Linked DNA regions of Xenopus tropicalis. The protein of the gene in region 1 purifies or fractionates together with the protein of each later gene. This does not show direct contact. Links are inferred from orthologs where the notes say so. Each region holds a gene or a part of one and is shown in the gene's direction. Other genes may lie near its edges. The genes, in order: mia3 and mia2.

Evidence for each region.
Region 2: the proteins of mia3 (region 1) and mia2 purify together in Homo sapiens (affinity purification with western blotting; 6 studies listed by BioGRID and IntAct, counting the BioPlex papers as one, with this or other methods). This does not show direct contact. The link is inferred for Xenopus tropicalis from reciprocal best matches to the Homo sapiens genes MIA3 and MIA2.

Annotation. Positions count from the first base shown.
Region 1 is NC_030681.2:9,624,001-9,635,812, reverse strand, and holds part of mia3 (transport and Golgi organization protein 1 homolog), read left to right. Parts: intron 1-726; coding exon 727-837; intron 838-1,099; coding exon 1,100-1,171; intron 1,172-1,946; coding exon 1,947-2,051; intron 2,052-2,633; coding exon 2,634-2,756; intron 2,757-3,013; coding exon 3,014-3,128; intron 3,129-3,547; coding exon 3,548-3,603; intron 3,604-4,034; coding exon 4,035-4,125; intron 4,126-5,063; coding exon 5,064-5,202; intron 5,203-6,549; coding exon 6,550-6,651; intron 6,652-6,842; coding exon 6,843-6,903; intron 6,904-7,535; coding exon 7,536-7,571; intron 7,572-8,620; coding exon 8,621-8,688; intron 8,689-8,774; coding exon 8,775-8,872; intron 8,873-9,038; coding exon 9,039-9,176; intron 9,177-9,556; coding exon 9,557-9,625; intron 9,626-10,817; coding exon 10,818-10,885; coding exon of another isoform or gene 10,886-10,891; intron 10,892-10,932; coding exon of another isoform or gene 10,933-10,956; exon of another isoform or gene 10,957-11,042; intron 11,043-11,057; coding exon 11,058-11,129; intron 11,130-11,812.
Region 2 is NC_030684.2:90,850,337-90,862,148, forward strand, and holds the start of mia2 (melanoma inhibitory activity protein 2), read left to right. Parts: upstream 1-2,512; 5' UTR 2,513-2,611; coding exon 2,612-2,726; intron 2,727-4,406; coding exon 4,407-4,540; intron 4,541-6,111; coding exon 6,112-6,198; intron 6,199-6,980; coding exon 6,981-7,098; intron 7,099-7,184; coding exon 7,185-8,798; intron 8,799-11,812. UniProt on the Homo sapiens protein: Plays a role in the transport of cargos that are too large to fit into COPII-coated vesicles and require specific mechanisms to be incorporated into membrane-bound carriers and exported from the endoplasmic reticulum.

The DNA of each region.
Region 1 (11,812 bases):
CCACCTCTGAATGGCTGAAGAAAAACAAAATGAAGACTTTGGAGTGGCCTAGTCAAAGTCCTGACCTGAATCCTATTGAGATGTTGTGGCATGACCTTAAAAAGGCGGTTCACGCTAGAAAACCCTCAAATAAAGCTGAATTACAACAATTCTGCAAAGATGAGTGGGCCAAAATTCCTCCAGAGCGCTGTAAAAGACTCGTTGCAAGTTATTGCAAACGCTTGATTGCAGTTATTGCTGCTAAGGGTGGCCCAACCAGTTATTAGGTTCAGGGGGCAATTACTTTTTCACACAGGGCCATGTAGGTTTGGATTTTTTTTCTCCCTAAATAATAAAAACCCTCATTTAAAAACTGCATTTTGTGTTTACTTGTGTTATCTTTGACTAATAGTTAAATGTGTTTGATGATTAGAAACATTTTGTGTGACAAACATGCAAAAGAATAAGAAATCAGGAAGGGGGCAAATAGTTTTTCACACCACTGTATATTATTACAGAATTGCTTCAAGTCAGCATTTGGAGTCAGTGGAGACTAGGAGCATATAGTACAAAATTGCCTAGTTATTAGATGCTTATTTGGCTGGTTCTGTACTTTATAACTAGACCCTAGGATTTCACCAGTTCTCTATAAACCTAGTCCATCAATAAATGCAATGTGCCTGTCTGTTTAGTTCCTTAAAGCTTGTTGTATTCACATTGAAATGATACTCATCCTTGCTTTTCCAGGCCACCATTAAGGAGCTAAAGGATTCCAACAAGGCTTTAGATTCAAAAATGAGGAACATAATGAATGACCTTGTCTCTCAGAAAGAGCAGAGCAAGAAGAAACAGGAAATGGTGAGAGCAGAATGACAACACATTCATATCAATAAGGGAAAATATCAGTTCCTGTTTATTCTTATGTAAATACATAATAAACTGAGCCCATAGATTATTATAAGCAAAGCATTTCTTTTCTGGTTCTACTTCAAATCTTCTATTTGTCGCCTTCTGTAATTATTTGCTTAATAAGAAAACATTGTTTGCTGTTTTGATTTGTAATGTTTTATGTATATGAGCTATTGATTTTAAATGTCTTCATGAATATTTTTCATCACAGATCAACGAGGGGCAGAAATCTATAGAAAAACTTCAAGATAAGTTTTTGGAGCACACAGTTGAACTGTCGGAGGTGAGAGATTCTTTTCTACATGTTTTCTTACATGTTACAGACTTGGCCTGGACTGCAACTCCCATCACCCTCAGTAAGCCAGGGACTGGATAAGGGTGATGTTAAAGGGGTTGTCCACCTTTACATTAAATTTTAGTATGATGTAAAGAGTTATATTATGAGACAACTTACAATCGGTCTTCATTTTTTATTATTTGTAGTTTTTTTTAATTATTTCAGTTTTTGTTCAGCAGCTCTACAGCTTGGAGATTTAGCAGCTATTTGGTTGCTAGGATTCTAATCACCTTAGCAACCAGGGTGTGGTTTGAATGAAAGACTGATATATAAATGGGAGAGGACCTAAATAGAAAAAGAAGGGATATTAAAGTAACAATAACAATAAAACTGCAGCCTCACAAAGCAATAGTTTTTTGGCTGCCGGGGTCAGTGACCCCCCCATATGAAAGCTGCAAAGAGTCAGAAGAAAAAGGCAAATCATTAAAAAACAATGAAAAACAAATAATGAAGACTAATTGAAAAGTTGCTTAGAATTGGCCTTTCTGTAACATACTAAAAGTTAACCTAAAGGTGAACCACCTCTTTAAGTTGAAGGTTGATATTAAACTTACCACTTTAAATTAAAAAAAAAGTTTGATAACACACACCTTAATGAGAGCAGCTGTTAGCATAACATTCACGTTGCTTTCTTGGCATGACTGTATTAGTTCTGAATTATGGAGATTAACTGATATGCAAGGAAGCCTGATTTTTCTTGACAATACTTCTTGCTTTTTAGCTTCAAGCTGCTCTGAATGAAGTAAAACTGAAAGAGGCAAAAGTGCGAAATGAACTGCGTGGTGTGAAGGATGAGAACTCCCGACTCAAAGAGACAAAGGAGCAGGTATGTGAGAAAGTATCCTCCCAAGCAAAACACTAACGTAAAAAGTCTTGGTCTAAATTGGTTGTCCTATAGGATCAGTCAGTTTCTCTACAAGTATATACCACTAAGTGTAATGTACATTCTCCTGTTGTATTCATGTTAAAGGAACAGTAATATAAAAAAGGCACAGGCTATGTAGCAGATAACAGATATGTTCTGTAGAATACAATGGGAACTGTGCAAATTTTCTTGAAACCCTTGCCTTTTCTCCTTTTTTTAATTAGCTACCCCCATGCAAACACACAGCTTTTACCAGTGCAGTGCAATAGTACATAATATATTAATTACTTTGATACACTTTCATTTTTGGTGTTACTGTACCTTTAACAGAAGGAGGGCATACAGTGTAAATAGTTTTATTATGGGGCAGAATATCCTAAGAATATCTACTGTCATTTATGTAGTTATTTTATGTGCCAACATATTCCACAGCACTGTTCAATAAGTAGGTGTATACAGTAAAAATACAGATTACATACAAAGAAAGAAAACCTGATAAAACCAGTAAAACAATTGATTATACTTGTGTTCAATCTGTTTTAGCTGCTAAAAGAAGCTGAAGGGTGGAGTGAAAGGCAGCGAGAGCTTGATGAGCAGATACAGCTGCAGCAGAAGTCTCACAAAGATCTGGAGGAAACCCTGGCCTACAAAGAAAATGAGATTGAGGTAGGCCATTGTGTATGGAAATATCATTACCTGGAAAGCACTGTTCCTCTACTCTACTAGGAGTCGTTGGGATTCTGTGACTAGGAAGCATTCTGTGCACTGAAGAATTTAAAATTGTAATCTTAGTAGCCAAGGAGACACAGAATGGTCAGGGCCCCTATTTGTCTTCTCATATTACAGTTATGGTAGCCCTGTGAGTTTATGTTAATGCCGTAATAATAGTCTTTAATTAATTTACACTAATTTCTGATCCATAGGTTTTAACCAACTGCATCATGCAACTAAAACAGCTTGAGGCGGACTCAACACTGGTAGAAGATGGTAACTGGCAGCAGGCAGGGGATGGGGAATTGGCAAATGGAGAGGTTCCAGGTAACTTTCCTCTCCTAGTCCTTGTTTATTGGGGCATACGATCAGTGATATAGAAGCTGTTGGGTTAGACAATCATTAGGGAATGCCATCCTTGCTTACATATTAAGTTTATTTGTGTCCCCGATGCAAGGAAGCTTTCATGAAATGTCTTTATTGTATATATTTTCCCTGTAACAAACTCCATTTGGTCAGAACTTCTTTTTTTTAAGGGTAATAACTGACTTGACCTATTATAGATACTATTAAAGAATCATTTTGCCAGGGCTGGTAAAAATCCACAGCAATACTATAACTGTACCAGTGTGCCAAGTACTTTGTTAGGATAGACGTGAAGTATTTTGTTGGCAACATTAGATATAGGTTCAAAACAAACAGAATCTGTACAGCTAATCTGTATCTATTGAAATGTTTTATTTTAGAGAAGCAGAAGGAGAAAATGAAAGTGCAGATTAAGCAAATGATGGATGTCTCAAGGGTAAGTATGAGATTGCACTTTGTTTGGTCCCCATAGATATTTATTGTTGTATACTGCACTTAACAAAAATTAGCATAACGTATCAAAATAATGTTATGAACGTCAGCTGTTACTATTAGGGTGAAGACACATGGAACTACTAGTAGCAGCTACTTGTCATGGCTACAAAAATCTACGTGTGTATTAGCAGGGGCAATTCTTAATATTGTCTATGGCAGGGGATTTTCTGGCGTTTAGTAGCCATGACAAGTAGCTGCTACTAAGTAGCTCTGTGTGTCTTTCCCCTTAGTATTGCTCCAATCCAAAGAATTAAGAGAGAATGAGGGAACAAGACTATGGCAGTGCATTCAGCAGCTGATTGATTTAGATTCTTTTTCTTTCCTAATACTCATTAACTTTTTATAACCTGTTCCTGATCTTCCTTGTTTTAGGTTAAAACCACCTTATCAATAATTGAGGAAGAAAAAGACCTCTACCAAAGAAAACTGGCGGATGAGGTTTCTGCACGACATGACCTTGAAGGTAGCCATCTAATAGAAACGTGTACTACTGACTGACATATCCATTTTGAGACCAACAAACCTGTAATAGACAGAGCTGGGATATTGATTTTGTCTGTAGCAATTAAACTATTCAGCAAACAAGCAAAGTAACATTGTATCTATTAATGCAGTCCTTTTCTGATGGATCTGCATAGGCCCATGTAAACAGCCCAGCATGTGGTTGCCCAAACTGGAAAAGGTCTGCTTGTTTGTTAAAGGAAAACTGTCATAAATTTCAGTCACACTTTAGTGCTGCGCTGCAAGTTGGAGTGATATCCCCACCCCTCACCCCCAGCAGCCGATCAGCAGAACAATGGGAAGGGAGCAAGATAGCAGCTCCCAGTAGGTATCAGAATAGCCCTCAATAGTAAGAAATCCAAGTCCGGCTTGGGACTCCTCCAGTTACATGGGAGTAGGAGAAACAATAGGTTAGCTGAAAGCAGTTCTAATGTGTAGCGCTGGCTGAAAGCTCAGACTCAGGCACAAGGCACTGAGATGGCGCCTACACACCAATATTACAGCTACAAATACATTTGTTGGTTCAAGAATATTCATTCTTTGTTTAGCAGCTCTCCAGTTTTGTGTTTCAGCAGTTGCTAGGGTCCAAATTACCTTAGCAATCAGTGAGTGGTTTGAATGAAAGACTGGTAAATGAATAGGAGAGGACCTAAATAGAAAGATAAGGAACAAAAAGTAACAATAACAACAAAACTGTAGCCACAAAGCAATAGTTGTTTGGCACCTGGGGTCAGTGACCTCCCGTCTAAAAGCTGCAAAGAGTTAGAGGAAGAAGGCAAATCATTTAAAAACTATAAAATAAATAAATACTGAAAAGTAACATGAAAGTTAACTTAAAGCTGAACGCCCCTTCAAAGTTGCTGCTGCTGCTGCAAATTTATATGTTTCTTTCTTATCTAGAACAAATTCAGCAACTTCAGCACGACGGCAGCTCCTTGCAGTCAGACAAGACGCGCCTGGACAACGAATGCAAAACTCTGCGCCAGAAAGTTGAAATCCTTACAGAACTGTACCAGCAGAAGGAGATGGCCCTGCAAAAGTAATTAAGGACATGGGTGGGCACAGCATGTGGTGGGAGGGGGAAAAACATATTTAGTTTTCAGCATATTGTGCCATGAAAAACAATTCTATTATGAAGCCACTTGGGATCCTTAAAAAGTCTAAGATTGATAGCGTGAAATGGGGGAGCTGCATTTTATTACCGCCATCTACTGCACCAGTGCTGTCCAACTTCTGTTATACCGAGGGCCAGTGTTATTCTGGCCTACATGGTGGAGGGATAATAATGGAAGCCACTTTAAACCACATCCATGTTAACCACATTAATGGTGGTAGCACAGCAAAAGCCCAAATTCTTGGTACTCACTGCAGGGATATCCTCATAACCAATGTAAAAGAAGCTTATTAAGTCATATTAAGCCACACCCTTAAATATAGTTGTAAACAAGGCAGGGTCTTATATGTGTAACCAATGCAGGGTCTTATATGTGTAAACACTGCAGGGTTTTATAAGTGTGCACAATGCATGGTCTTAGAGGTGCGAACAATGCATTGTCTTACAGACGTGAACAGTGCATGGCCTTATAGGTGTGGACAATGCAGGGTCTTGTATGTGTGAACAGCACATTGTCTTGTAGATGTGAACACGGTGGGGTCTTGTAGGTTGGAACGATGCAGGGTCTTGTAGGTTGGAACGATGCAGGGTCTTGTAGGTTGGAACGATGCAGGGTCTTGTAGGTTGGAACCATGCAGGGTCTTGTAGGTTGGAACCATGCAGGGTCTTGTAGGTTGGAACGATGCAGGGTCTTGTAGGTTGGAACGATGCAGGGTCTTGTAGGTTGGAATGATGCAGGGTATTTTAGGTTTGAGCGATGCAGGGTCTTATATGTACGAACAACACATGATCTTATAGGTGTAAACAATGCAGGGTCTTGTAGGTATAAGCAATGCAGAGTCTTGTAGGTATAAGCAATGCAGGGTCTTGTAGGTATAAGCAATGCAGGGTCTTGTAGGTATAAGCAATGCAGGGTCTTGTAGGTATAAGCAATGCAGGGTCTTGTAGGTATAAGCAATGCAGGGTCTTGTAGGTATAAGCAATGCAGGGTCTTGAAGGTATAAGCAATGCAGGGTCTTGAAGGTGTAAACAATGCAGGGGCTTACAGCCTAAAACTGAGGTTGTAAACAATACAGGGGGGAAGTTAACCTCAGTACTGATACAATGTACAGCTTAAGCATTTGCAGCAACTAGACAGGTGGGGGCCGTGGGCTGCCAGTTGGACAACACTGTACTACACCATCATATTGGGAACCTTCACACTCTCTGCCTGCACATTTCAATATATTATATCAAGCAGGAGACTTATATTGGTTCTTGTGCTTCTTTTAGGAAACTTACACAGGAGGAGTTTGAGCGGCAAGACAAGGAGCAGAAGCTGACGATGGCTGACGAAAAGGCTGTCTCGGCTGTAGCAGAAGTCAAAATCTACAAGTATATATTTTTTGCTGTGAATAAATGATAAACCATCAATTAGCTGTATATAAATCCAAATAATTACTGATTGTGTTCAGCTAGGGAAAGTGACATTTGGCATTACTGAGGGTGACTAATCAAAGTGGGGGAGAACAAACACTAACAATAGGCATTCATTTACAACTGGCTAATTGTATTTGATTTTGCAGGCAGCGAATTCAAGAAATGGAAGAAGAGCTACAGAAAACGGAAAGGTCCTTCAAAAACCAGGTAATGGGCAGTGTCTGTATCTCCTGGGTACACTGTGTTTCCTTTTTAGCTCTTCATTGGGGCTTTACTGATTCAAATAGGTTGTTAGTGTAAAGCCTGAAAATTATAGCGCCAGTAGATTGATCCAAGCTAAATATTTGTTGGCTGTTGTGGCTAACTTCAATGACTGCTTCACTTAGTGAGTAACATATTAATCAAAAGCAGCTTGATTGTGGGCATAGTAATTCAATTTATTTGTATTACCTGTCTGTTTATCCAGACCCTCTCTGTAATTCAAGCCAGGGTCTCTTGTGTAGTGGAAGCCTAGAAACCAGTTACAAACCATTAAATAACCCAAAATCTAATTCTAGTTGCAAATCATCCTTCGTTGCCACTACAAGAGGCAAACTTTTTTCACTTATCTACATAGTGCCAAAATTAATCTTAAGTAAAACTTTCCCTTTAACCTCTAGCACTGCTTCTTGACAAAGTACAGAAATGGGTCCAAATGGCCACTGATTGTGCTCTGATAGGCCTGCCTGGCCCTTATAGTTATGTATTTCACTGAAGGCTAGATAGCTTTAGGAGGGTTTGTGGAATGCACATTTTTCTGTTATAGTTTGTGTTAAATTCTTTTTATTCATGTTTTTCAGATTGCAAGCCATGAAAAGAAAGCTCACGAAAACTGGGTGAGTGTGGTACCTATATACACCTTTATAATGTAGTAGAAGACTTTTCCTCAGATTTGAAGTAGGCAAGATTAGAGCCAACCTGGCATCAGTCAGAGCATTATGATGTTGACTGGTGTAGAGCAGGTAGCGAAAAAGAGCATTTGAACAGTCACATGACTGTAAATGGTCAGGGCTTTAGAAAGTTCTCAGCTTAATTATTGTCAGAGATACTGGAGCTGTGGTTTTTAATCAGGTAGAGAGAAGCAGATCTGCTCTAATCAGCACTTCCCTGTAGCTGTACTGACAATCACTATCAGAAATCAGGCCTGAAATCAGTGATATTTTCAGGCCACTTTCCACTCCACTGCAGCTACATGGAGATACTGATTAGAGTGGATCCGCTTCTCTCATTAAAAACGCTCTGTGTGACTAAGCCCTTATGGGTAAGAACCCATGGAGCGAGTTACTCGCTTGCGAAAGATCTCCACTATCGTGGGCGAGTAACCACTCCGAAAAGGCTTTCCACCGGCAACAATAGAAGTCGCCAGTGGAAAGCCCTTTGCATCGCTTCGGTAATCCGAAGTTGCACAATGTTTGGGAACTGAAGTGATGCGAAGGGCTTTCCACCAGTGACTTCTATTGTTGCCAGTGGAAAGCCTTTTTGGAGCAGTTATTGCTCCATGGGTTCTTACCCTATAGGTGGTTTTGCTAAAGGCCACAACAACCTGTTGTCACCAATCAGTCTGTTAGGTTGACCATATGAACAAATGGGTCGGGGACTTAACTGACATTGTTCATGTTTTAATTGCCAAAAATGTGTACTTTTCTTTTGGCTGTAGCTGGTTTGAGAAATTATTTCAGATACAGCTATGAAATGTAATTTTTTTGTAATTACCCTTTAGGGGACTTTTTCACCTTTTCCACCGATCCTTCATGCTGGAGAATAAGTTATAATCAATGATGGAATGCCTTCATTTTAGTGCTAATTGATATATTAGAAATGGTTAATAATTGCTAATGCATCTCACTATGGCCTCTTTTTCCTCCAATCCCTGTCTATGCTGCAGCTCTCTGCTCGGTCAGCTGAGAGAACCTTGGCAGAAGAGAAACGAGAGTGTGCAAACCTCCGGCAGAAGTAAGAGAACTTTTATGGGAGACTAAGATTATGCTAGATCCCACATATCAACAGTGTACATGTATTTATATAAAATGCTTTTTCAGATTAATTGAAGTCAACCAAAGAGTTGCAGAGCTCCAGAGACCTGCCATTGTGAAGCCGACGCCAGGAAGGCCAGAGCATCAGCAATCACTAAAGAGAGGTACTAAGCATCAACCATTGCCCCTTCTGTGGGTTACTGAATTTTATCGACCTATCGATTTAATTAAATGTAGTTAATGTCATTTCTGTGCCATTTTAAAAAGATAATTGCATGTCTGCTATATAATGGATGATCCCTAACAATTTTTCTTTCTATTTAAATTAAGGTAATCTGAGCAGAGATGGCTCATTTGGACCTTCCCCTGTAAGTGGGGGAAATCCTTCACCTCCTTTAATGATGGATGTATCCGGAAGGTCATCATCTGCCAACCTTAATAGATCTGAGGGTCCTAAGGGTGACTTTGGTAAGTAACATTCTGTTGCACACACTAAATCTTTAGGACCTCAGGTCATCACTGCTGAACCTTGTTTTAAAAATCTCAATACAATGAACTAGGCTGTATGGGATCTGCTGCAATATACAGTGTATCTATTTGGCTAGCCTGCAGCAATGCAAGACTTGGTGCTGAGTGTTTCCTACATATTCCTGAATGTTCTTCAACAGCTGGTTCACTAGTGTGGCTTCTCAGATTGGCTGCAGCTGGTTCCATTTATGGCAATATACTGGCAGTGAATAAACACTGGATAACTGGACACAGTATCAAAACATATCCTTCAATGTGTTACATTATGCGTCATAAAACTGCACACTCCATGGTAATAAGTAATCCTTTCTGACTTAAAGGTGCAATGGACATTCCACCCGGACCAAGGTGTTCCCAAGCTGATATGTCTGGAAGAATCTCCGCACCAGGTGGGTAGTGCTTTAATAATTGTGGGCAGGTTTCTTCTGGTACAGGTAAATATTTCAAGGTTCTCAAATTGAATAAAGAGCAACATGGGGAGTTGTATTAGGTTTAGACAAATGTTAGTCATGGAGAACTGTCATTCTCTTCAAGGTGTAGTCCAAGGTCACTGGATTACCCCCTCTCTCCGGCTCATAAACTCATTCCCCTTTGATAGCCACACAACGTTACAACATAAGAGCCAGCGGTAAAGAAAAGCTCAGGGGAAATCAAGCAGAATAATTTGATAATATAGTGTAGTATAGTATGCCCCTACATATAACTGCAAGGTTAAAGGATGACTTTAGAATATATCATTATTTATTGTATTCAGCTCCTCATAACACCATTGGTGTTTCCATGCATCCTTTATCCACTGTAATTCACCTTGTGGGGGGGTATAGGTGGGTAATTAAAAATGTTTAAAAGCAATGTCTTGCTTTACTTAAATACCAGATTGATGCAGTATCAAATCTTCTGCTATTAAGGAAGATTTAATACAAATTTCCAGTTAAATTTGCACTCATAAATGTAATGAATATATAGGCATAACGAGTCCTTCTTTATAGTGCCCGCACTGAAGTGGAGTCTGGGCCGCTTGGGTAGCTGTATAGATGCGGGTGTTCCCTTTCTGCAGCGTGTATACTCCAGGATGCACAAGGTGTATACGCACTGCAGAAAGAGAAGGCCCCCTTTAAAAACACATGGCACAGAAGCTCTGGGCATCCCATTGCCTTGTGTTTTATTTTAAATTTAATTTAGGTTACTTGTGAGTATGGGGCTATACCCACAATCAGGAAGACAGGACACCACCTTGCTAGTTAGAAAAGAGAGCCCTTACTCCCAGTGCCCTCTCAGGAATATAGTCTAGGATCCCATGGTGCATGGTTGTGCATTGGTTGGTTCCAGTGATTGCTGTAAGTGCTACAGGGAACAGGCTGAGGTTTCAGCCAACTTCTCCCTTAGGGAGCTCTGTTCTTTAACAGCACCCAGTCATTGGGTTTGCAGTGTTGAGTGTTTTGAGCAGGACATGAAGGATACTGGGCCTATGTGTCCAGTTTCTATGGTATCTGTTCTTTAAATGGAAAACCAAAATCAATTAAACCGAACATGTTATTACTGTGCATGAATATCTTACACTTTCCATATTCTGCCTTGCAGTGGAACTTGGCCATTTGGCTTCTATGGGCCCAAGAACATCCTCTCCTTCGATGACAGTGGATGGCATGGTATGTTCCAGATAAAAAGAGGTCCCTTTGCTCTTTTATAACTTACCCTTCGAGCGCTCTGCTTATTTTAGCTCATTCACCTTCTCAATTTTGACTCCTCATTTTCATGTACGTGTGCGGCATTTTGTGTATCTGATTTTCTTACTGAATTTTTTTCTTGTAAAAACAAAAGCCAAATCCACCTCATGAGCCCGAGGCCCCAAGTGTGGCTCCTAGCTTTCCCCCACCTGACGAAGCGGAGGCAGTAAGTATGCGGAAGCCATGGGTTGAGCTGGGTGTCACATAATGCTTCCGGTGGAAAGAGTGAGCTGCTAACTGACTTGCATGCGCTTCCCCAACAAATGTCTCTGTCTCTCAGAGTTGGCTGAGGATGATGGGAGGGAGGATTTGCCAAAGCTGCATGGCCATGAGGTGCACATCCATGCTGTGTGTGTGTGTATATATACATATATATAATATATTACCTTGTGGCTGTCCAGCTTTTGCTGTCCTTGGGCATCTACATGGGCTGCTGGGTATTAAAACCTGATAGGTTGGAAGACATCACATGGTGGTATGGTGAGAATAAATGTCAGAGGAAAATAGTTCATAATAATAATAAAAGTCAGCACTCGTACAGTTAACTTATATACTGTGATCTTGTTACATGCCATGGCCAGTACATCATTTGTTCAATAAATTAAGAATTGGGACACTAAACCTAAAGTAACACTCACAGATGTATGTGTCTAAAGGGGTGATTTGCCTTTCAGTTAACTCTTAGTATGTTATAGAATGACCCATGTTAAGCAACTTTGTTTAATTGGTCTTAGGGCTTTGGCACACGGGGAGATTAGTCGCCCGCGACAAAACTCCCTGTTCGCGGGCGACTAATCTCCCCGAGTTGCCTTCCCCTGCCATCCCACCGGCTAAAATGTAAGTCGCCGG
Region 2 (11,812 bases), on another chromosome or scaffold:
ATACAATCCATTAAAAATTTTAAATCAAATGGTGTATGAAAGTGTGAGTAATATTTATAATAAAGCATTGATAGGATAGTAATGGTGGTAATTTAAAATCCGTAATTTGGGGATAACCCCTTTGCAAAATGTGCCAATGACATTGCAGAATTGTCCCTATATTTTTACTATAGGAAATAAGCTTCTCAGCTTCTCATTCCCTCTGCTCCTACCGCATTATGTCCTTGTCTGGTCCCTTGCTCCCTCTGCCCCCACCCTCCATCAATCTCCAGTTTCACTTACTCCTTGCTCCCTTCCACTCTTTTTCAATCTCTGCTCTTGCTCTCCCTCATTCTCGGTGTCTCCTCTCCCATTCCTCTCATTAACCTGCACAATATGGCATGGCTGGCCAGAATGCCACTGAAGTCAGATCACAGGAAGGAAAAAAATGCTGAACAAACACAGGTAAATGGGGACTACAGAAAGAGGCAAGACTAAACATTAAAACAACAAGGGGAACAAAAAGTAAGAGACTGAAGTGTGTCTTTGCATAGGATAGAATAGAGCAAACACAGAGGGCTCATTGAAGACACTGCACACAGAAATACTGTAGATTATAATGAATAATGCACCCCATTACTGTACTTTATAAAGATATTGTAAGTCACATTGGAGTTATGTGACCTTTATAAAAGCACTCAGTTTTTATTTTGGCTGAAACAAATGATTGTAGCCAGAAAAAATAGAACTTAATTTAGTAAATAAAAAAAACTGACATCTTGGGTTGTCTTTCTTTATTAGCTGACATATATCTTTGAACTAAAAATGGGTGAAATAACTTTAGACCTTCCTTTGCAATTATTATTACCCTCCAAACAAAGTTAATTATTTCTTCATTTTAATAGAGTTATAAAATTATACAGTATCTTAGAACTAACAGTTGGTGTTACTTGAGGTAGCTTCATACCTTCATCTACCTTACACCAAAAAGACTAAAGGCACGTTTATATCCATTATCCTTTGTGTGTTTTGGTGACATAAGTATCTCCTGTAATCAAAATCATAAACAATAAAATTAATTAAAGCACGCAGTGAGTTTGGGACCTTCTGAAGGAAGGAGAAACTAAGTTACAGGTCTAAAAGAGACTAATATATGCCCCCCTCACTACCAATAGCTGATAAGTTAGAGGTGGTTGGAGCCCTTAACTTATTATCCAAATGGTTTGGTCGAGGATTTTTGAGTCCAAGTTTTTTAGAAATTCTAAAATTAGTCATTTAAAATATTAATATATCTGCTTTGTGGAGACACATTTATTAACATTCTTATTTTCGTGGTCTTAGACTCATTTCCACTAAAACCACGAATGTCTATTCATTTATTGAAAGATCCGAAAATAATTAAGGCCTTTTCCTTATACCTTTATTCCATTAGTGCTAGTATTAAGAATCCTCACATTGTGTAACCAGTTAATACGTATTACTGGTCCATATGTTTTTGCCCTGGAAAAGTGAAAAATAATTATTGTAAATCATCAATATAGCAGATTTAAGGCTAGATTCAATTATTTCTAAAATGTAAAAAAAGCCCAAAGTTTCTCCTTATTCAATAATCCATCAGAAAAGTTTTTGTTATTGTATTGAATCTAGGCCTTAAAGGGGTGGTTCACCTACAGGTTACCTTTTAGTATGTTATAGAATTACGTATTCTTAACAACATTTCAATTGGTCTGTGTTTTTTATTTTCTATAATTTTTAAACTTCTTCTGACTCTTTCCAGCTTTCAAATGGGGGGTCACTGACCACAGCAGCCATAACATTATTGCTCTGTGAGGCTACAATTTTATTGTTATTGTTACTTTGTAATTACTTATCTTTCTATTTAGGCTTCCCTATTCATTTTTCTGTCCATATTTCAAACCATTGCAAATTGTCTCAGAATAACACTCTCTATGTTATATTAAAAGTTAATATAAAGGTGAACAACCCCTTTAATGTCATATGTTCGTATTAAATGTTGCCTCTTTATGAAGTATACAAGTAACAGGAACCTTTTAAACCTGCTACTAGTAGCTCTGTGTGTCTTCACCCTAAGACAGGGCATTGAGGAATGTCAATAGAGTGAAGGAAAGAAATGGTGATTGAGCTAGGAAAAGCAACGTTTAGTGCAATGGTACACATAGTGCTTTGTCACTCATAGATGAATGCCTTTAACACTTTACATGCAGCAATCCAGGTTAATTGTGGGAACATACATTTTCCTGCTAATCATGAAATACAAATGTCAAATGTACAAAAGATAACGTAACATATCTGGTAGTGTTAATCTCCCTACTTAGTGAACAAATCCTAAAGGTTATATAGCTGTAGACTAAAAAAAACAATATATTTATAAATCAATCAATATTGCTACTCTGAGAGTTCCCAAGGTCCAGTTTCTGTGTTTATGGTGGCTGTTAAATCTCTGTACTTTAGTTAACCATTAAACTAATCAGTGATGTTCAGATTCCTGACTCTGCAATTCATTCCTGCCATGTTACAAAAGACATGCATGAGACTACAAGAAATCAAGCAGCTCCAATAATTTTGCTTTGGAATTCCCAATTATTTTTGAAAAGCAGCTCATGAAAGCAAAATGGTGGAACAGTGGGGACATAGGATTGTTGTTCTTGGCCTGTTATTGTCTGTGCCACTTCAGTCGCAGAAAATTCTGTCAGATAAGAAGAAATGTGCGGATCCTCATTGTGAAAGTAAGTATTTTACAAAAGCAATAACAGCGATGTTTATATGATATGTTCTCTTTCTCTAGTAAATCAGTCTAAAGTGAATGTTTGTGCACAACAGTATATTATTCACTAAGCTATTGTAACTGTGAAGTAAGTTGAATTAGAGACACATTCATTTAGCATTTCTTTTAAATATATTTTTTTATCATGCCTTTTCCAACACCCACAGGCCATGGTGCTATCACACAAGCAGGGCAAGGTTCACCACCATTGTTTAGCAATAGGACATATATTACACAGCAGCACACGTGTTGCAAACTAGTGCTGGGAAAGCTCTAACCAGAGCTTTATTAAGGGAAAAAAAACAAGCACATAAAAACAAGGATAGTCTGATTTCTATCTTTGCTTAAATCTTACCATTTGCTAAAGCAAAGAATGCACTCTGCCTTTTGTCTTGTGACAATAAGGGCACTGTTTCAATGGAGATTTCTTATTCCTGCACAGTAATCTCCCATAATTTTTTTCTCATGCAGATCAATGATGTTGGGAAACATTAAAAGGAATGACTGTATTTTAACCCAAAATAACTATAGTAAATATATACACAGATATGTAGATATGTGAGGTTCCATCAACCATACACAGGCAGATTTAAGCTGCAGATTTGAGTCCTTTAGACAGATTCGGCAACTTATCTGCCTCTGTATGGGGCCTCCCTGATCAATATCTGGCCAAAAATCAGCTAGGTGTCAATTGAGATTGACACCTGGCTGAGCAGATCTTATTGACCAAATAAGTGGATCTTAACTTGTATGGCCACCTTAAGATATTGTGAGAGATGCAATGGGAAAGAGCGTTATTTGGTGTATTTCCACCAGTACTTAAGGTGGGATACAAATGGCCCAAGGTAAAATACCTGGTTTTACAGCAGGTAATGCTGTTTTGGAGTAAATCTCCTTTAAGGTTTGATTTGGCCAGCTGTAGGGAGCTGCCTGATTAGGCTGCAGGTGAAGCAGTCAATAAAAGGGGTTGTGTGATTTAGAGAATTGGAATTAAACTTTGAGTGAAGGTCACTCTCAGAGCAGGGCACAGAGCAGGAGGGCTGCCTGTGTTAGGAACTCCCAGAGGAGCTGGGGGTGCCACCTGCCACTGCCAGGAAGCAGAGGGAGTGCTGACCGAACGGATGAGTGCTGAGAGGGCTCGGCAAGGCTTAGTGTGAAGCCTGAGTGTTCCAGACCGTGGAAATAACCCTGGAAGGTGAGAACCCTGAAGAAGGGACATCTCAAAACCCTGAACTGTTTACTGAACTGTCTTTATGTTTCTGTTGGGAAGAATTGGCCCTAAATAAACCTGAGTTTTGCCTGAAGACTTGGTGTCCCTGTCTCTATGCTCCAGATCCTCTGCATGCCTGCCTGCCTACCATTGCTATTTCCCCCAAAATTGCGTGTACAGGCATTCAGCATGTCACAATATATAAGCTGATAGGGCAAGCCCAGAACCAAAGCTCCTATTAGATTTTCTCTGCCATCATAAAGTGTGCTGAATCCTAGAATATATATATATATATATATTGTTTTCTGTATCCCACAATTTATCACGTGGCACCCAGGCCGTATCTATATTTTTTTGGCGAGTGCCCTCCCTCTATTATGTTATATATATCCACTTACTTGTCAATGCTAATTATTCTTTACTATACCGAAGGTTTAATGTTCAGAGCTCAGGCTATTCAAGATTACAATGGACCTGACTGCAGATATCTGAGTTTTAAAGTAGGAGCAGAAATCATTGTGTACTACAAACTGTCTGGTAAACGAGAGGATCTATGGCAAGGAAGTGTAAGTAAACACCATTAATTCAGAAACCTTTGTCAGATTCCGGCATCGTTGTGCGAGCATTTACAGTTTAGATTATGAAACTATTAAAATTACAGAATAAAAAAATGGTGTAAAGAAAAAAAATAGTTAATAGTATACTGCCATCATTGCATTACACTAAAAAGTTGTTCTGCCACCAACATGTCTGCACTATAGAGAAAGCAAATGTTTATTAACATTGGAAACAAACATAACCAGAACTTTGCTTTTGTTTTCCTATTTGTAGTTGACCATTCAAATCTAATTGCTGATTTGTTGCTATGGGCAACATCACCGATGACGTTTGTCTCCAATGTTAATAAATACACCACTGAATAAAGTGCTGCTCTGCTTATTTTGCTTAGTGTGCCTACCTTTGAAATATTAATACGCTAACATGCAGCAAGAGCAGAGGGTCATTTGTATGGCTCCTTAAAGGGAAACTGTACAGTTTTCATTATATAAGCAATTGTATTTATTATTAACAATAAATTTGCAAAAGAAGTGCCCCTACTATTCTAAGCAGAGAGGCCTCAGAAGCCACTTCCTGCTTCAGTGACGTAACCTGGCGGCTGCACAAGCAGAGCTGCAGGGGGCGCCCAAAACAGCAGTCAGCAATTTTTACATAACTTTATTTTGGTGTCTATAGTTCCATTTTAATAATTGTTAGCCGGAATGTTCTTCAGGGACATTCTGCAAACTTCTAGCTGTCTGTAAACTGAAATCCCCACCAACTGTTGGAGGGTTCTTGGTTGCACAAGATTTATGTAGTTTTTTTTCTTATTAGAACCAAAAACTGCAGTTCTCTTCTCCCCATAAACATATTTCATTCCTGCTGCTTAGAGGTCTTTCAAACTCCATTTAATTTCTAGAACTGCAGTTTCTTTGCACCATAACCAATAGTCCAAGTCCATCAGTTCTCATATATACAGTACAAGCTTTGTTTCCAGTTATCCAAATATTTGTATCAGGGCTCTATTGGTCCCTAAATATTTCAGAAAGTAACAATTTAAGGTTCAAAAATAGCAGTTGGTGCACTAAATTTTATTTATTTTAATTTTCAACATATTTTAAGTGCATCAATTGCTATTTCTGAATTTTGTTTTCCATCTGTTCTTCTCTTCACCCCTTGAAGTCACAGTCCTATCTCTTCCCCAACACATCTCTAGCCCCAGGGCTCAAGTGATTTAATTCCTGGACTTAAGTGAAATTGATATGCAAGTCCATATGTTGAAATACCCCATTAGGCAAATAATTAAAGGAAAGAAAGCTAAATGTGGCAGATTGGTTGATGTAAATAATTGTGTACAAAGGTTGAATGTCCCCTTTAAACAACAGAGGTCATTTACAGCATGGATGGCAGTATGCAAAGTGCAACAAATGACTGCAATTGGCTCAGTGCTATCATACGTTGCTGTATTACTACAGGTCTCTGTGCTGTGCTTTTTAGTGCAGAAACTGATTGTTCAGGCCATTTTTGGCCAATGTTATACATTTTGGGCCAATATTCTCAGGAACTATAATAGTAACACAAGATAATATATTGTTTCCAGACTGGTAAAGAATATGGCTTTTTCCCAATGCATACTGTTACAATTGAAGAAATCTACGTGACTGAAGAAGTAGAGGTTGATGCACAGGTAAGACTATATTAGCATTTCATAACATTTATAATTTCTTATATTAGTAGTAATTTTCCTGAAGGCTGATTCTGTAACCCAAAACTGCCATATTGGGAACCAAGCTCAGCACTTGGGTTAATGTTACTGTGCGCTAAGTGCAGTTTTTAATGCAAGGCACCATTTTTCCCACAGTGTTATGAGAATTCAGTGCAACTATTCTATCTGCCAAATTGTGCCCAGTGCATCAAAGCGAATGCAATTTTGCATGCATGTGTTTGTGAATCAGACACAAGTTGCGGGACTACATTGTTTCCATAGCATGGTATTTAAATTCCATTAGCATATGATTCTTTCTTTGCTAGTCTGTTGCATCTAGTGACACAGCAGCTGTTGGTACCATGGCACTACTGGCATGCCCAGTGTGGCCGCAGCTCCAGTGCTCCCCAGAGTCACTTTTATCAGAAAAGACGGGGTGAATGCAACGGTGCTCAATGCAACTATGAGAATGTGAAAGGTTAATTTTTTGACTGCATGTACCTTTTAATAAAGAGCATCAATACCTAGTTCCATCCATTTTAGTGTAACCACACTTTCACCTGCATATATAAATGACCCATTTGGTCTAAAAAGTTCTTTACAGACTGAAGACTAAAAGATTTCTGCCTTACAAACAGGTTGACTAAGGTGGAATAATTTTGGAGAATGAGGCTTACAAGTGACTTCAAATTGATATAAGAGAATGCTCAATATTAGATATGTACATTAAGATTGTATCATCATTGTTTTGAATCTTCTTTCAGGAAATTGATTTTGTTTGTCTGAATGGGGGTGAATATGTATTTGAAAATGAGGACAGTGTACTGCTTAAGCCTGAGGAAAGCGAATATGCTCGTGACTTGGAGAGTAAAGTAATTAAAGGTGAGAAGGTACAATCTTTAAAGGTAAAAACATATTTTTAACAGTAACTGCTAAATGTTTAATTAAAATGTCTTTATGTGTTCCAGATAACAAGTTTGTTGGAAATACAGAGACAAATACAGAAACAAACATACAGACATCCGAGAACCTGGAAGAAATAGACAAATCTAAATGGTCTACATCAAGTATTGCAGGATGGTTCGGCATAGGAGAGTCAGAAGACAAACAAAGTACTGAAATTAACACAGAACCTGTAAAAGAAGATACTTTTCACTCAAGGAAAATTGCAATAAGTGAAGAAATGGAAATTAAAGGAACTGATGAAGTGGAACTGAAAAAGTCTGGATGGTTAAGCAGTCAATTTACAAATTTTCTGCCATTTGGAAAAAGGGAGGTTGATGCTCCAGTTCAAAAAGAAAAAACAGATGATGTGGTTTCTGCTCATACAAGTCAATCTGATGAGATGAAAATGAATGTCAAGGAAATACCAACCGAAGCAAGCACTTCTACAGAGCCACAGTCAAAATGGTTTAACTTTGCTATAAAAGATGTTTTCGGAGTTGGCAGTAAAGATGAAGTTAAGATAAAAGATGTTCATGAACATGGAGATATCATTTTAGAAAATGAACCATCAGAAATTTCCAGTGATGGTGAAGAATTAACTGCAACAAACAGTGAAGACAGAGAGGAAACATTTGATGAAACTAAAAGCCAAGAGAAAGGTGGGTCTTGTGATTCACAGCTGTTAGATGACTTTTCATGTGTAATGTCAGGGGGAAAAGGCTCCCAATCCATTGAGAGTGTTATATCAGAAAACCAAAATACTTTGCAATCTTATAAAGAGCTCCACAATGAAGATATTAGTGAAAATTCGTATACACAATCATATGCCATGCCAAACTGGGTAAACAATAAAGAGGATAGGACTGTAGAAATTCATATAGAAGCTAGAGAAACAATATATGAAGGTCAGTCATATAATTCAAAGGAAAATAAGGAAATGGTTCAAGCAGACTCTGGTAAAACTGAAAATCATGATATGGCAAATGGTCAAAAAAATAGTAGCAAGCTTAGTCTTGAGCCCTCTCTTAATATACTCCCAAATACAGACACAAATGGTATAAATACACTTGTCCAGACAACTACAGGAACAACATCTGGAGATAGAGATGAGCCTAAAAAGACTTATACTGATGAGATAGAAAATCAGTTTACAGCTGAGATCAATAGTACTGTATCCCCAAAAGAAGAAAACAATAAATCTCAAAAGAGTTTTATACCTCAGGTTGATCTCTTGGAATCTCAGGATAAAAAAGATCTGGATACTTTAAAAAATAATATATATTCTTCCAATCACATAGATGAAGCAAGCCCTAAAGAGAACACTGTGGTGGATTTACCCCTGGATGACAAAATTGAGCAAATGTATGCTGAAAATACTGTCAATTCAACAAAAACACAGGAAGAGAACATCAAAATAAATGAATTTTCAGCTGATGGGACAAAGGAAAAACACAAAATTCTGTCTACTGATAACCCTATAGTGAGTGAAACATTTAGGACAGAACTGTCTTCAGATATTGGGAACCCAAATACTGACTGTGATATCAGTAGCAACACTAAGATTCATAAAACTGTTGCACAAGACTTTCTATCAAAGAATGAACTGAGTGAACATAGCCAGGAACTAGAAACAGCAGGTAAGTTGGGATACTGATTTATGCATATTAGGTTATGTAGAGCCGTACTGTCTTGTGCAAAATAGAGAACATTCAACAAAAAATGATCACATGGAGTAAAATGGCAAAGCTAATCTGACACTAATTTAATTGTTCCCCTAAAACAGAAAAAACAGCATGTAGGAGGAAACAGTGTCTGGACTGTAATTTTGTAGGTGCCTGATGTATTGTAGTGCTTAGTTAAACACTAGTTCGAACTACTTGATTAAAGCCTTATGCTCTTTCATATAAATGGTGCGCACCACAGTATTAAACAATAAGATCCTCTCTTGTTTTGACAAGAATTCTTTATTTGCAAAGTTATAGCACCATGAAAAAATAAACAAAAATATAATTTATGATTTATGTCACAGTGTATTGGCAGCTTTTTATTTGGATCGGGTTCTTTACATTTCAAATTAAAAGAGACCTGTTATGCAGAATTTTTGGAAAAGAGGGTTTTCCAGATAAGGGTCTTTCTGTAATTTGGATCTCCTTAAGTCTACTAAAAAATAATCTAATCATTAAGCCCAATGGGATTGTTTTGCATCCATTAAGGATTGATTATATCTTAGTCGGGATTAAGCATAATCTTCTGTTGTATTATTACAGAGAAAAATGAATCATTTTAAAAAAATTTAATTATTTGTTTAAAATGGAGTCTATGGGAGATGGGCTTCCTGTAACTCAGATCTTACTGGATAACTTTTCCCATCCCTGTATTAAAAATGAAAAAAAAACTTGATTGTGCAGAAATATCCCACATGAAAAGAAAAAAAAAAATAATCAATACCAGAAAACATTAATAATCCTGAACCCAAACACCATCAGGTAATAAAAATGTACATATACAGTATATATATAGTACACAGCGAGGAGCACACCCTATACAAGTCCAAATGCCCTTGGTGCAGGTTAAAAACAAAAGTATAATAGAAAGAGTGCCGCACTCACAAGGACTTGATACAAAAGAAAAAGTGTTTTTCAGCCAAGACTTTTTCTTTTGTATCAAGTCCCTGTGAGTGCGGCACTCTTTCCAGTGTATATATATATATATATATATAGCATGAAATAATCCATGGCCGGCACACCCTTAAAATTCAAAAAAAATTTTTATTGAAAACTCATTGTTTTTTGATGGTTTTTAAACAATGAGTTTTCAATAAAAATTTTTTTTGAATTTTAAGGGTGTGCCGGCCATGGATTATTTCATGCTAAATACTCAGATTTTGGCTGTGCACCCCACAGAATACTAAAAGCTTTGGAGTGCAGACACCATCAGGACTGATATATATATATATATATATATATATATACTTATACTTGAAATAATAATATATAAATACAAATTATAACAAATATATACAAGGTACAGTTGCAATAAGTTAAGAATCCAAGAGACAAGAGGATGAAGGTCTCTGCCCCGTAGAGCACTGTACAGGTATGGGACCTGTTTTCCAGAATGCTCTGGACCTGGGGTTTTTTCCGGATAATGGATCTTTCCGTAATTTGGATCTCCGTTACTTAAGTCTGCTAAAAATCATTCAAATATTGAATACATCCAATAGGCTTGTTTTGCCTCCAATAAGGGTTAATTATATCTTAGTTAGGATCAAGTACAAGGTACTGTTTTATTATTACAGAGAAAAATTTGAATTATTTTCTTACAATGGAGTCTATGGGAGATGAACTTTCCATAATTCGGAACTTTTTGGATAACGGGTTTCCGGATAAGGGATCCCATACCTGTACCATGTCCAGATTATGTTGCATACATGTACAGTGGAGGAAATAATTATTTGACCCCTCACTGATTTTGTAAGTTTGTCCAATGACAAAGAAATGAAAAGTCTCAGAACAGTATCATTTCAATGGTAGGTTTATTTTAACAGTGGCAGATAGCACATCAAAAGGAAAATCGAAAAAATAACTTTAAATAAAAGATAGCAACTGATTTGCATTTCATTGAGTGAAATAAGTTTTTGAACCCCTACCAACCATTAAGAGTTCTGGCTCCCACAGAGTGGTTAGACACTTCTACTCAATTAGTCAACCTCATTAAGGACACCTGTCTTAACTAGTCACCTGTATAAAAGACACCTGTCCACAGAATCAATCAATCAAGCAGACTCCAAACTCTCCAACATGGGAAAGACCAAAGAGCTGTCCAAGGATGTCAGAGACAAAATTGTAGACCTGCACAAGGCTGGAATGGGCTACAAAACCATTAGCAAGAAGCTGGGAGAGAAGGTGACAACTGTTGGTGCGATTGTTCGAAAATGGAAGGAGCACAAAATGACTATCAATCGACCTCGCTCTGGGGCTCCACGCAAGATCTCACCTCGTGGGGTGTCAATGATTCTGAGAAAGGTGAAAAAGCATCCTAGAACTACACGGGAGGAGTTAGTTAATGACCTCAAATTAGCAGGGACCACAGTCACCAAGAAAACCATTGGAAACACATTACACCGCAATGGATTAAAATCCTGCAGGGCTCGCAAGGTCCCCCTGCTCAAGAAGGCACATGTGCAGGCCCGTCTGAAGTTTGCCATTGAACACCTGAATGATTCTGTGAGTGACTGGGAGAAGGTGCTGTGGTCTGATGAGACCAAAATAGAGCTCTTTGCCATTAACTCAACTCGCTGTGTTTGGAGGAAGAAAAATGCTGCCTATGACCCCCAAAACACCGTCCCCACCGTCAAGCATGGGGGTGGAAACATTTTGCTTTGGGGGTGTTTTTCTGCTAAGGGCACAGGACAACTTATTCGCATTAACGGGAAAATGGACGGAGCCATGTATCGTGAAATCCTGAACGACAACCTCCTTCCCTCTGCCAGGAAACTGAAAATGGGTCGTGGATGGGTGTTCCAGCACGACAATGACCCAAAACATACAGCAAAGGCAACAAAGGAGTGGCTCAAGAAGAAGCACATTAAGGTCATGGAGTGGCCTAGTCAGTCTCCGGACCTTAATCCAATAGAAAACCTATGGAGGGA